Macaca mulatta: one gene and its partner. The main gene of each other region encodes a partner of the protein of the gene in region 2 in a complex. Links are inferred from orthologs where the notes say so. Each region holds a gene or a part of one and is shown on either strand. Other genes may lie near its edges. The genes, in order: PIGY and DPM2.

Evidence for each region.
Region 1: DPM2 (region 2) and PIGY share a complex: the UniProt entries of both Homo sapiens proteins name them as parts of the glycosylphosphatidylinositol-N-acetylglucosaminyltransferase (GPI-GnT) complex. The link is inferred for Macaca mulatta from reciprocal best matches to the Homo sapiens genes DPM2 and PIGY.

Annotation. Positions count from the first base shown.
Region 1 is NC_133410.1:97,843,159-97,847,609, forward strand, and holds PIGY (phosphatidylinositol N-acetylglucosaminyltransferase subunit Y), read right to left. Parts: upstream 2,891-4,451; 5' UTR 2,802-2,890; coding exon of another isoform or gene 2,599-2,801; intron 1,128-2,598; coding exon of another isoform or gene 986-1,127; 5' UTR 891-985; coding exon 675-890; 3' UTR 96-674; downstream 1-95. UniProt on the Homo sapiens protein: Part of the glycosylphosphatidylinositol-N-acetylglucosaminyltransferase (GPI-GnT) complex that catalyzes the transfer of N-acetylglucosamine from UDP-N-acetylglucosamine to phosphatidylinositol and participates in the first step of GPI biosynthesis.
Region 2 is NC_133420.1:19,758,605-19,763,186, reverse strand, and holds the start of DPM2 (dolichol phosphate-mannose biosynthesis regulatory protein), read right to left. Parts: upstream 3,003-4,582; 5' UTR 2,975-3,002; coding exon 2,972-2,974; intron 2,358-2,971; coding exon 2,268-2,357; intron 1,616-2,267; exon of another isoform or gene 1,571-1,615; coding exon of another isoform or gene 1,493-1,570; coding exon 1,390-1,492; intron 623-1,389; coding exon 564-622; 3' UTR 1-563. UniProt on the Homo sapiens protein: Regulates the biosynthesis of dolichol phosphate-mannose. Regulatory subunit of the dolichol-phosphate mannose (DPM) synthase complex; essential for the ER localization and stable expression of DPM1.

The DNA of each region.
Region 1 (4,451 bases), on a different chromosome or scaffold from region 2:
CTAAACACAGCTATATTTAGTGCAGTTTTACAACTTCCCTTAGTATCAATAACACTTCTGTGACCAAACAAATAAACAAAACAAATGATTACAAACTGGTTTATTTTTTATGGGAAAGTGTCAACATCTTTATTGCTAATATAAGCATTTAATGTCAAAGAAATGAAGGTAATTTTACAAACTCAATTTTTGTAAGTACATGAAATTTCTATTTCATTATATGGTTTTGTATCACATTCGTTCAAATGCATTTCTCTCCCTTACAGGGACTATTCCAACATCACTCCTTTGGAATTATTTCAGTCATCCCTAACATGTGACTTTACCAAAGACCTTGAAGCTAAACAAACAAGCAAAACAAAATTTCAATGACTTTTAGATGAATGGAATAAGAAATAGTCATCACATGTCAATTAGGGATGTTTATCTCCAACAAGACACTGTCAAAATGTTTCTTCTGATACAGCAGTTATAAGTCAGAGCCTTCAAAAAACAAGGGCAGAACAAGAGCACAATAAAAGAAGCACCTGCAACTTAAGCTTCCCACAGTCCTAAGCCTGATATGCGCAAAGCAAAGCCTCTTTCCCACAAACTCAATTCCATCCATTTGAGCTTTCAGAGATAGATGCCCAAGAACTACCATTAATGTATACAGCATATTGACTCTAGTTGCATCAATTATGCCTGAAGAGTTTAATACCCATCCAAGTCCAAAGGTGGAAGAATACATACACTGGTATGGTAATAGGCAAGAGCAGGCTGTAAAAGCAAAGGCTGGCTGTGCTAGTGCAGCCCTGTGGGAAGTTTTCTTCCACAGAGGCTGAGTAGAACAGTCCTGTTAAAGAAACCAGTGGAATAAGAACAGTCAATGTAGGAAGAGACAGAAACATTCTTCTCTTCCACTTATTACCTGCCACTGTGTTTTAAAAGGTATATGGTACTAAGAAAAGTTGGCTGTTGCGTTTTATGTTTTTTTAATTATGAACTAGCGCTGCTCCACTTCTTCCTGCTTCTTACTTTGATGCGTCATCCTAGCTGCCTGTGGTATCATATTAGGAATCCCATCAATGATTGGATAAGCTATTCCCAACTCTTCATTAATCAATTCATTTGTTGATGCTTCATATCTGGGGTGGAAAAAAAAAAGAACAAAATGAGTTGTGGAAAAATAAAATAATTGAAGAGCCTGATTTTCAACAAATACCACCATTTATCCAATTCTTGGTATGGAGTTAATCCCAGAATAGTCTTCTTTAATTAAAAGCAACGATAGCCAATTCAACCTTTTATCTTAGAAAAATTCTCTTAGAATCTATAATTATTCCCATTTTAGTCAGTTTCTCTCATATTCTCTTTTTCACCTTATTCACAAGTTATTCCTTAATTTTTTTTTCATACTAGTCAGAAAAGATCCCCCTCTCTTATCCAAATATTCCTTCATTACTTTGGTCAACCCCCAAATCATCTCTGTTAATTTACTACTGGAATAAACACTAGAGAAAAATCAACTTCTTCGTTTTAGAATAAATGCTAAGTAGAAAAACTTAACTAATCCATTAGAAGGAAATCACTGGAAAAGGTGAGAGGGCAGAAATGAGGAAACTTTGGAAAGCAGTAAGTCTGCCGTGAGCTAGTTATAAACGCAAATCAAATAATTTCAAGGTTTGAGAAAACTGAATATGTTTATTATGGGAAAAAAGAAATATGAAAAATTGCTAGTAATCTACCACTCAAAGATAACCACTGACAACGTTTTGGTGTTTCGTTTATGCGATTTGTAATACTAGCGTTAGTGTTGTCAATATTCCATTTTTGGGAGCTTGGAAACTGTAGAGCTGTCTTCCCAAAAACTAGGTTAAAGAGGCTTCTAAGAAATCTGCTAGGCCACAACTAAGAGCCACCAGGCAGCATACACAGCTGAATTGCTTAAGATTGTCAGGCACCAGTTGTACAAGACACTTTCACAAGAATCTGGAGGGTAAAATACTTTTCATTATCTTGGCTTAAAAACCGGATGGCTTTGGACTTGTCCTGAATCGCAGTAATTCAAGAACCTGCTGGTACGTTAGAAATCATTTAGGGACCATTTAAGAACACAAATAAGCTGGGCGTGGGGGCGGCGCCTGTCTCCCGACTCCTGAGGAGGCTGAGGTGGGAGTTCTAGGCCAGTCTGGGCAACGTAGGGGGGCACCCTGTCTCTTAAAAGGAAAAAAAGAAAATACAAATGTTCAGGTCCCAACCCCCGAGCATTCCAAGTCTGCCCGTCTTGGGGGCTGCAGGGGAATCGGCATTTTTAAAACGGTCCCCGGGTGATTGCAAAGAGCAGCCGGTCGCGAAGCCTAAAACGCTTCGAGCCATTCCGGCAGGCTGGCTATGTGCTCTGGGAGATGTGGGACGCGGCTCCCCTGGCCTCCGGTCTCCCCCGTTCTGCCCGCCGCAGGGGGAGGTGCATGCACCGGCGGGGACAGAGTCCAGAATATGGCAGCGGAGAGTATTCACCGACCTACAAGTCCCCAGTGGCTGAGACAGGCCGCGGTCCACCACTCCCTTTCCGCCCACCGGGAGGCTGCGAAGGAAGGGCCAAGACCAGCGAGTCACCTGAGCGGCTTCTTGGAGAGCGGGCACACCAGGAACTCCAGCAGCGCCGGATCCAAGGCGCGGGGCGGCTCCTCCGTCTCGTTGCTCCGGTCGGCCAAAGGCCGCGAGCCCGACGCGTGCAGACACCTACAGGCGACCGCGGACCGCGCTGCGCTAGTTCCCCGCAGCGCTGAGGCGAGCCTGCCGCGTGCTCCGCTCAGCATGGTCTGGCAGCCGGAGACCAGGCCTCACTGCGCCTCCGCCAGCCGGGGCCGAGCTCCTCGCTCCGCGGTAGTACAAGCCAGCCGACCAGGCCCCGCCCCCTGGTGCTCTGGGAAACGCTGCCGGTGAGTAGGCGGGGCGGGCGCTTTGGTTCCGAGGGTGCTCCTGCTCCGACTGCTTTTCCCACGGACGTCATCTGCAGGCCGTAGGACAGCCCCAGGGCTGAGGCCTCTAGTGGGTGCCCCGCCGCCTTACCAGACTACAAACTAAATCAGTGTTTAAGTCGAGGTGTCTGGGCTTTCACCGGGGCCTGTGGCAGAGATGCTAGGAAGCCAGTGGCCAGATCTCAGAGTTGTAGGGAGTTAGGCTTGGACCTACGTGGTTACCTCCAAGTGAAGTTTCAAACACACTGTCATGTATTGTATTGAATGTATTGCCATGGATGTATTGAAAGCGTTCATTTGTTTCATGTACGTCTTTACTATACCATTAGTTTCTGTAATCTTGTTTGACTTCTTTCTGTCTCATTTAAAAAAGTGAGAACCTGGAAGGAATGGTCTAGGCCTCTGACCCTCCAAAATATATAAATTCTTCCTGCCTGAGACCCAGTCATTGTGAAGTATTTGCGTAATAAAGCACAACTAATTTACTTCTATCAATGAGCTTGGAGGCCGCAAAGGGCCTAAATAACTGTGTAACAGGCAGATGTCTGTTAGTCAAATGGGTGATCCATTCAGTGAATTTGTATCCCAGGTTTGCTTCCGACTCTCCGAGGAAGTGATGCATGTTAGATCTCTTTCTTACAGTGTAGTAGATGGGAACTTGGGCTCTGGGGCCTGACAGCTTGGTTTCCTGTCCACAGTTTAGTAGCCGGATTACTTCGGCAAGTGACTTAACTGCTCATTTTACTTATCTGTATAAGATTAATAATTGTACCTACCTTGTTCTGTCAAGGTAGGGGATAAATGTGATTGTGCATTCGAAGAACATTTAGAAAAGTGCCTGGCACAAATTAGTGCTCTATTAATGTTGTCTATTTTTATTTTTATGTCATCTAGTTTTTCCATGTCCGAAGACTCAAAGTTTCTTGTTAGTCATCCATTTTTTCCCTCCGTTCTGCTGAATATCAACCTGAACTTTTTTTTGCATCTCTGGGCATTATCATTTCACACTTTGAGTTCCTGGGGCTAGAAGGAAAGAATACGAAAATATGTTTATATTTTCAAATTTCTCTCCCACTCCAATGTAAAAATAAATTGAGAAATGTTTATGCGTTCATCCTAATTTTTTGTCTATTTGTTTTTTGGGCCATCCTGTTTTTTAAAAAAAAAAGTTAATTTTTTGATGTTCTTTGTTCACTAATGCTCAGGAGATTTTCTAAGGTTAATGTAGTTTGTAGGATACCAAAAAGGAAACACTTCTACTGGATAGATATTTAAGAGATAATGAAAGTCTCCGGTTGCCACACCTTCCTTCCCCCACAAAGAAATCTTTCATAGTCGGTTATTAGAGTCACTAAGGGACTAGAGTATAGGGCAGTTATCAGGACTTACCCCCCCAGTCACTAACGGACTAGAGAATAGGGCAGTTACCAGGACTTACCCTCAAGGGAAACTACTGTAAAGTTCCTATGTTACCTTCACACTATTTCC
Region 2 (4,582 bases):
GGAGCTCCATGAGGAGCGATCGGTCAGCAGCTAATATGCCTTGAGGCCCAGGGCTGGTCCTGGGGTCTGTCAGTCCTTCCCCAGGTGTTCCAGGTCCAGAAGGCTTTGCGGGGTCTTGGGCTGTGTCAGGCTAAGGAAAGCTGCCTTGCTGGAGGAGCAGGACTTGTGGAGAGAGGTCAGAGAGGTCACACATGCGGCCCTAGAACCCGCTAAGTCCAATGTCAGCATGTGACAGGAGGGGAAGTGAGGCAACATGGCAGAACCCGGGGGAAAAGGTGGCAGGGAGTCTGAGAGTGAGGTTGGGAGACCAGCATCTTTTAGGCCCTGAGCAAGAAGGGGGTGACTGGAGTCTTCCAGGTATTCCTCCCTCCTAGCTTCTGGAAGTGAGAGTCAGGGAGGGGGCTCCGGTCAGGCAGGGGTAAGCTCCATGTCATGGGGACTCTGCAGGACAGGCAGGCTGGAGGCGCCACTGTGCCTGGACAGGTTCTGCAGGCTCCCCTACTTGGTCCCTGTGCTGGAGGGGAAGCAGAGAAGGGGCTGGCAGCCTCATCCCCGCGGGACCTTCACTGAGCCTTCTTGGTCACCCTCTCGCTCTTCAGCATCACGTAGGTGATGAACAGTCCTGGAATACATAGACCAGAAAGGCCACATAAGATCTAAGCTCAGGGCTGCTGGGAGGCCAGGGCACGACACAGCAGAGCCACCCACACGCAGGGCTGTGAACCTACCCAACCACTCTCCAGGGAACCTGCTTATCTCCCTAGTCATTCGTCAAGCCATAGGTCCACTCACATTCATTCAACAAACACCAGCTGAGTGCCTGCCTCAGGCAAAGATGCTGCATTTAGTGTTTCAGATTCCAAGGGGAACAAGATCCACCCATCTATAGATCACCCAGTCAACCACTTGTCCACCTATATACCTACCCACCTCCTATACCTCACCCACCCACCCATCCACCCACCCATCATCCAGGCACCCGGCTATTGACTGACTCATCCAAATGACTTTCTGAGCACAACCTCAGTGCCACAGCCCATTCTAGATGCACAGTAATGATGGAGACACAGTCCCCGCCCCTAGGAAGCCATGAGAGAGAGAGGTGCAGGAATTAGAAGCCAGGGTGACAAGAGGGTGACTGAGGTGTGAGCAGAGCAATGATGGGGTTGGGGGCAGGAAAGAGGGGGACAGGTCATTGGAGTCCAAAAAGCCTGGGGCACCAGGAAACCCAGAGGTTACTGACTGGCAACCTCGAAGGATGAACAGGAAAACCCCAGGGGTGAGTTCGGGGCAAAGAGCTTCCAGCAGTGCCAAAGTGTGGAAGCATGTTCAGAGGTGGGGTCCCCCCGAAACCCTGCCCGGGGTCAAGGGGAGGAAGTGATGACTTACCCACAAACAGGAGCAGTAGGAGGCCTGCAGCCAGTGGGATGGCGACAGCATAGGCTCGGGGCAGGAAATACTTGTGGATGACATGCTCACTGTCGATGAATGGCTGGCATCGAGGGCAGAGCTCTGGTGAGCCTTGCTCGCCTTGCCCAGCCCCCAAGCCCAAACACACCACCTCCAGCATCTAAGGGGCTGGCCCATTCAGAGCACTGGGCCTGCATTTGCTTTTCTTTAAGATTATGGCATTTGGGTGTCATGGTTTGTTTCCTTCCTTAATTTCTTATTGGTATTTACCGGGCACTTGCTTTGGTGCCTGCCATAGGTTGGTGGTGGGGACAAGAGAACAGGGGACAAGAGACCAGCCCTAAGGCACTCACAGCCTAGCAAATAGTACATGAGGAATCCTCGACTGACTCCCAACCTGGGCCTCCAGGGATTCTTCACTAATATTTTTTCCCTAAAGGATAGCAAGTTCTGCACTTCCAAACACACTGCACTTCTTAAGCAATGACCAACAAGTTTTCCCACAAGAAAAAAATATCCTAAAGGCCTTCACAGATATCACTGGCGCTCGCCATGCCTGAGTCAGCAGGCTAACCCAGAAGGAACATAACTCCCCCAAAAGTCAAAGCAAGCTGGAAACAGAGTTTTAAGTGTAGCGGCTAAGGATGCAATCTTGGGCCAGATCCTTCTCCCCGAGCCTCAGCTATCTCATCTAAAAAATGCGGCACCACTGGCATCTTCCTCATAGCGTTGTTTTGAAGATTTCAAGAGATAAGGCAGGCAATGAAGCCAGCGCCGTGCCTAGAACCTACATAGAAGTTGCTTTGGCGGTGCCAGGGCTACGGGAAGGTGAGCAGCGGACGGGGAGAATGACATACCAAGAGAATCACCCAGGCGGTGTAGTAGGTGAAGATGATCAGGCTAACGGCGACGAGGCCGAGTCCCACCACCTGGTCTGTCCCCGTGGCCTGGAGAAAAGGGAGGTCTCAGCTGACGAAGTGACTCTCTATTTTGGCGTACTAATGGAGGCGGGGCGTCGCGGCCCAATCACGGTCTAAGCTTCCCATTCAACAGATGCTAGAGGAGGCCGGGCGCGGTGGCTCAAGCCTGTAATCCCAGCACTTTGGGAGGCCGAGACGGGCGGATCACGACGTCAGGAGATCGAGACCATCCCGGCTAACAGGGTGAAACCCCGTCTCTACTAAAAAATACAAAAAGCTAGCCGGGCGAGGTGGCGGGCGCCTGTAGTCCCAGCTACTCGGGAGGCTGAGGCAGGAGAATGGCGGGAACCCGGGAGGCGGAGCTTGCAGTGAGCTGAGATCCCGCCACTGCACTCCAGCCTGGGCGACAGAGCGAGACTCCGTCTCAAAAAAAAAAAAAAAAAAAAAAAAAAAAAGATGCTAGAGGGCTGACTAGGGATCAGTTTCTAGGCTGGGAGAGAATGCCAGGCCTCCGCGTTATCGTCCGTACAATAGGGGGGGCGGGAGAGCAATCCCCGTTCCAGTGCCCATGCCCCAGCTTCTGAGCACCCGAGACCCCACCCCCAGACGCCCCTATCTCCGGCACTCTGTCCCAATCTCACCATTTCCCCGCGCGTTCAGTCACCGGAGCCGCAAGCCACATCCGGTTCCGGATTCACGCTTTTCCGGCTTTGGGCTGCGGAGCGCGCCGGGAGTCGTAGTCCCCAGGCCGGCTCAGGCCCACGTCGTCGGAGACTAGCAGGAACCGCCTCCTCCCCTTTGCATATCGGGGAAGTGTAGTTCTCAAGAGCATTGTGGGGCCGGTTGCTGCCCGAATCTCCCTAGGGAATGGGACCGAGTTGGGGACCCAGACTCCCTGGCCTTCATGGCCACAGTCCTGTCGCCGCCCCACCAAAAGCCAATCTCTAAGTATCCCAAAGTCCTGGGGTCAGAGTGAGATGGGAGTGCGGGATCGGAAGTTCCATTTTTCAGATGGGAAAAGCGAGGCTCAGAGAAAGGTAGATCCCAATCCGAGTCAGTGGTGAAGCCGACACGGGAACTGGGGGGCCGTAACTAGTCTGTAGGTGGGAGAGGCGCAGAGAATGTTCACTTTTCAGCCTAGGATGGGCGGGGGAGGGTCTGTCCCCAGCCCGCATGAATGGGGAGGATTTGGATTGGTGGAGAGGGGGCGCCCTCCTCACCATCGCCTGGCCTCCTGGGCCACCCTCTGGATGTCCCCTCCTTTCCTTCACCGGCTGCCTCTCGCAGCAGCCCAGACATGTTTCGGACCAGAACCCACGCACAGGCCCCTCCCCGATCTTGGAGGATCCTTCCTCTGAGAACAAAGGGATGTTGGGCCAGATCATCTTCCACGCTTCTTCAGCTCCGAGATAGGAACGCGGGCCCCCACCACTCACCGGCCGGCTGCTCCTCATCCATCCAGCCTCACTGGGACGCCACGTTCCCCAGGGAAGCCAGCTGGGAAGGGTTTTTTTTCTTTCTTAGAGACGGAGTTCTATGTTACCCAGGCTGGTGTCGAACTCCTGGCCTCAAGCGATCCTCCCAACTCGGCCTCCAAAAGTTTACAGGCGTGAGCCACCGTGCCCAGCCTCCTGTGCCTTTTAATTCACTGACACACTTGTTCATCCGGCCCTGTCAGCTCCCTGAGGGTAGGATCTGAGATTGCTGCTGTATTCCTGGCACTCCGTGGAGGCTTGGCCCAAAGTAAGAGGTTTTTTTTGTTTTTTTGTTTTTCCCCCAGAGATGGGAGTCTCACTGTCGGCCAGGCTGGAGTGCAGTGGCGTGTTCTCAGCTCACTGCAACCTCCGCCTCCTGGGTTCAAGTGATTCTCTTGCCTCAGCCTCCCGAGTAGCTGGGACTATAGGCGCGTGCCAACACGTCCAGCTAATTTTTGTGTTTTTAGTAGAGATGGGTTTTCACCGTGTTGGCTAGGTTGGTATCAAACTCCTGACCTCAGGTGATCCGCCCACCTCAGCCTCCAAAAGTGCTTGGGTTACAGGTGTGAGCATCGCGCTCGGCCCAAAGTAAGAGTTTTGAACCAGCCAGCTTTAAAATTCAGTGATTGTTTAGATCCTGGAGTATAGCATCTGGACTCCAGGCCTCCCTGAGGGGTTATGTGGAGGCCTTTGGCCTGCTGTCCCCACCTGGGGGGTTTGGGGAGAGATGTACTCTGAGCCTGGCATGGTTCACTCCCTCTGGCATTTATCTCGTTG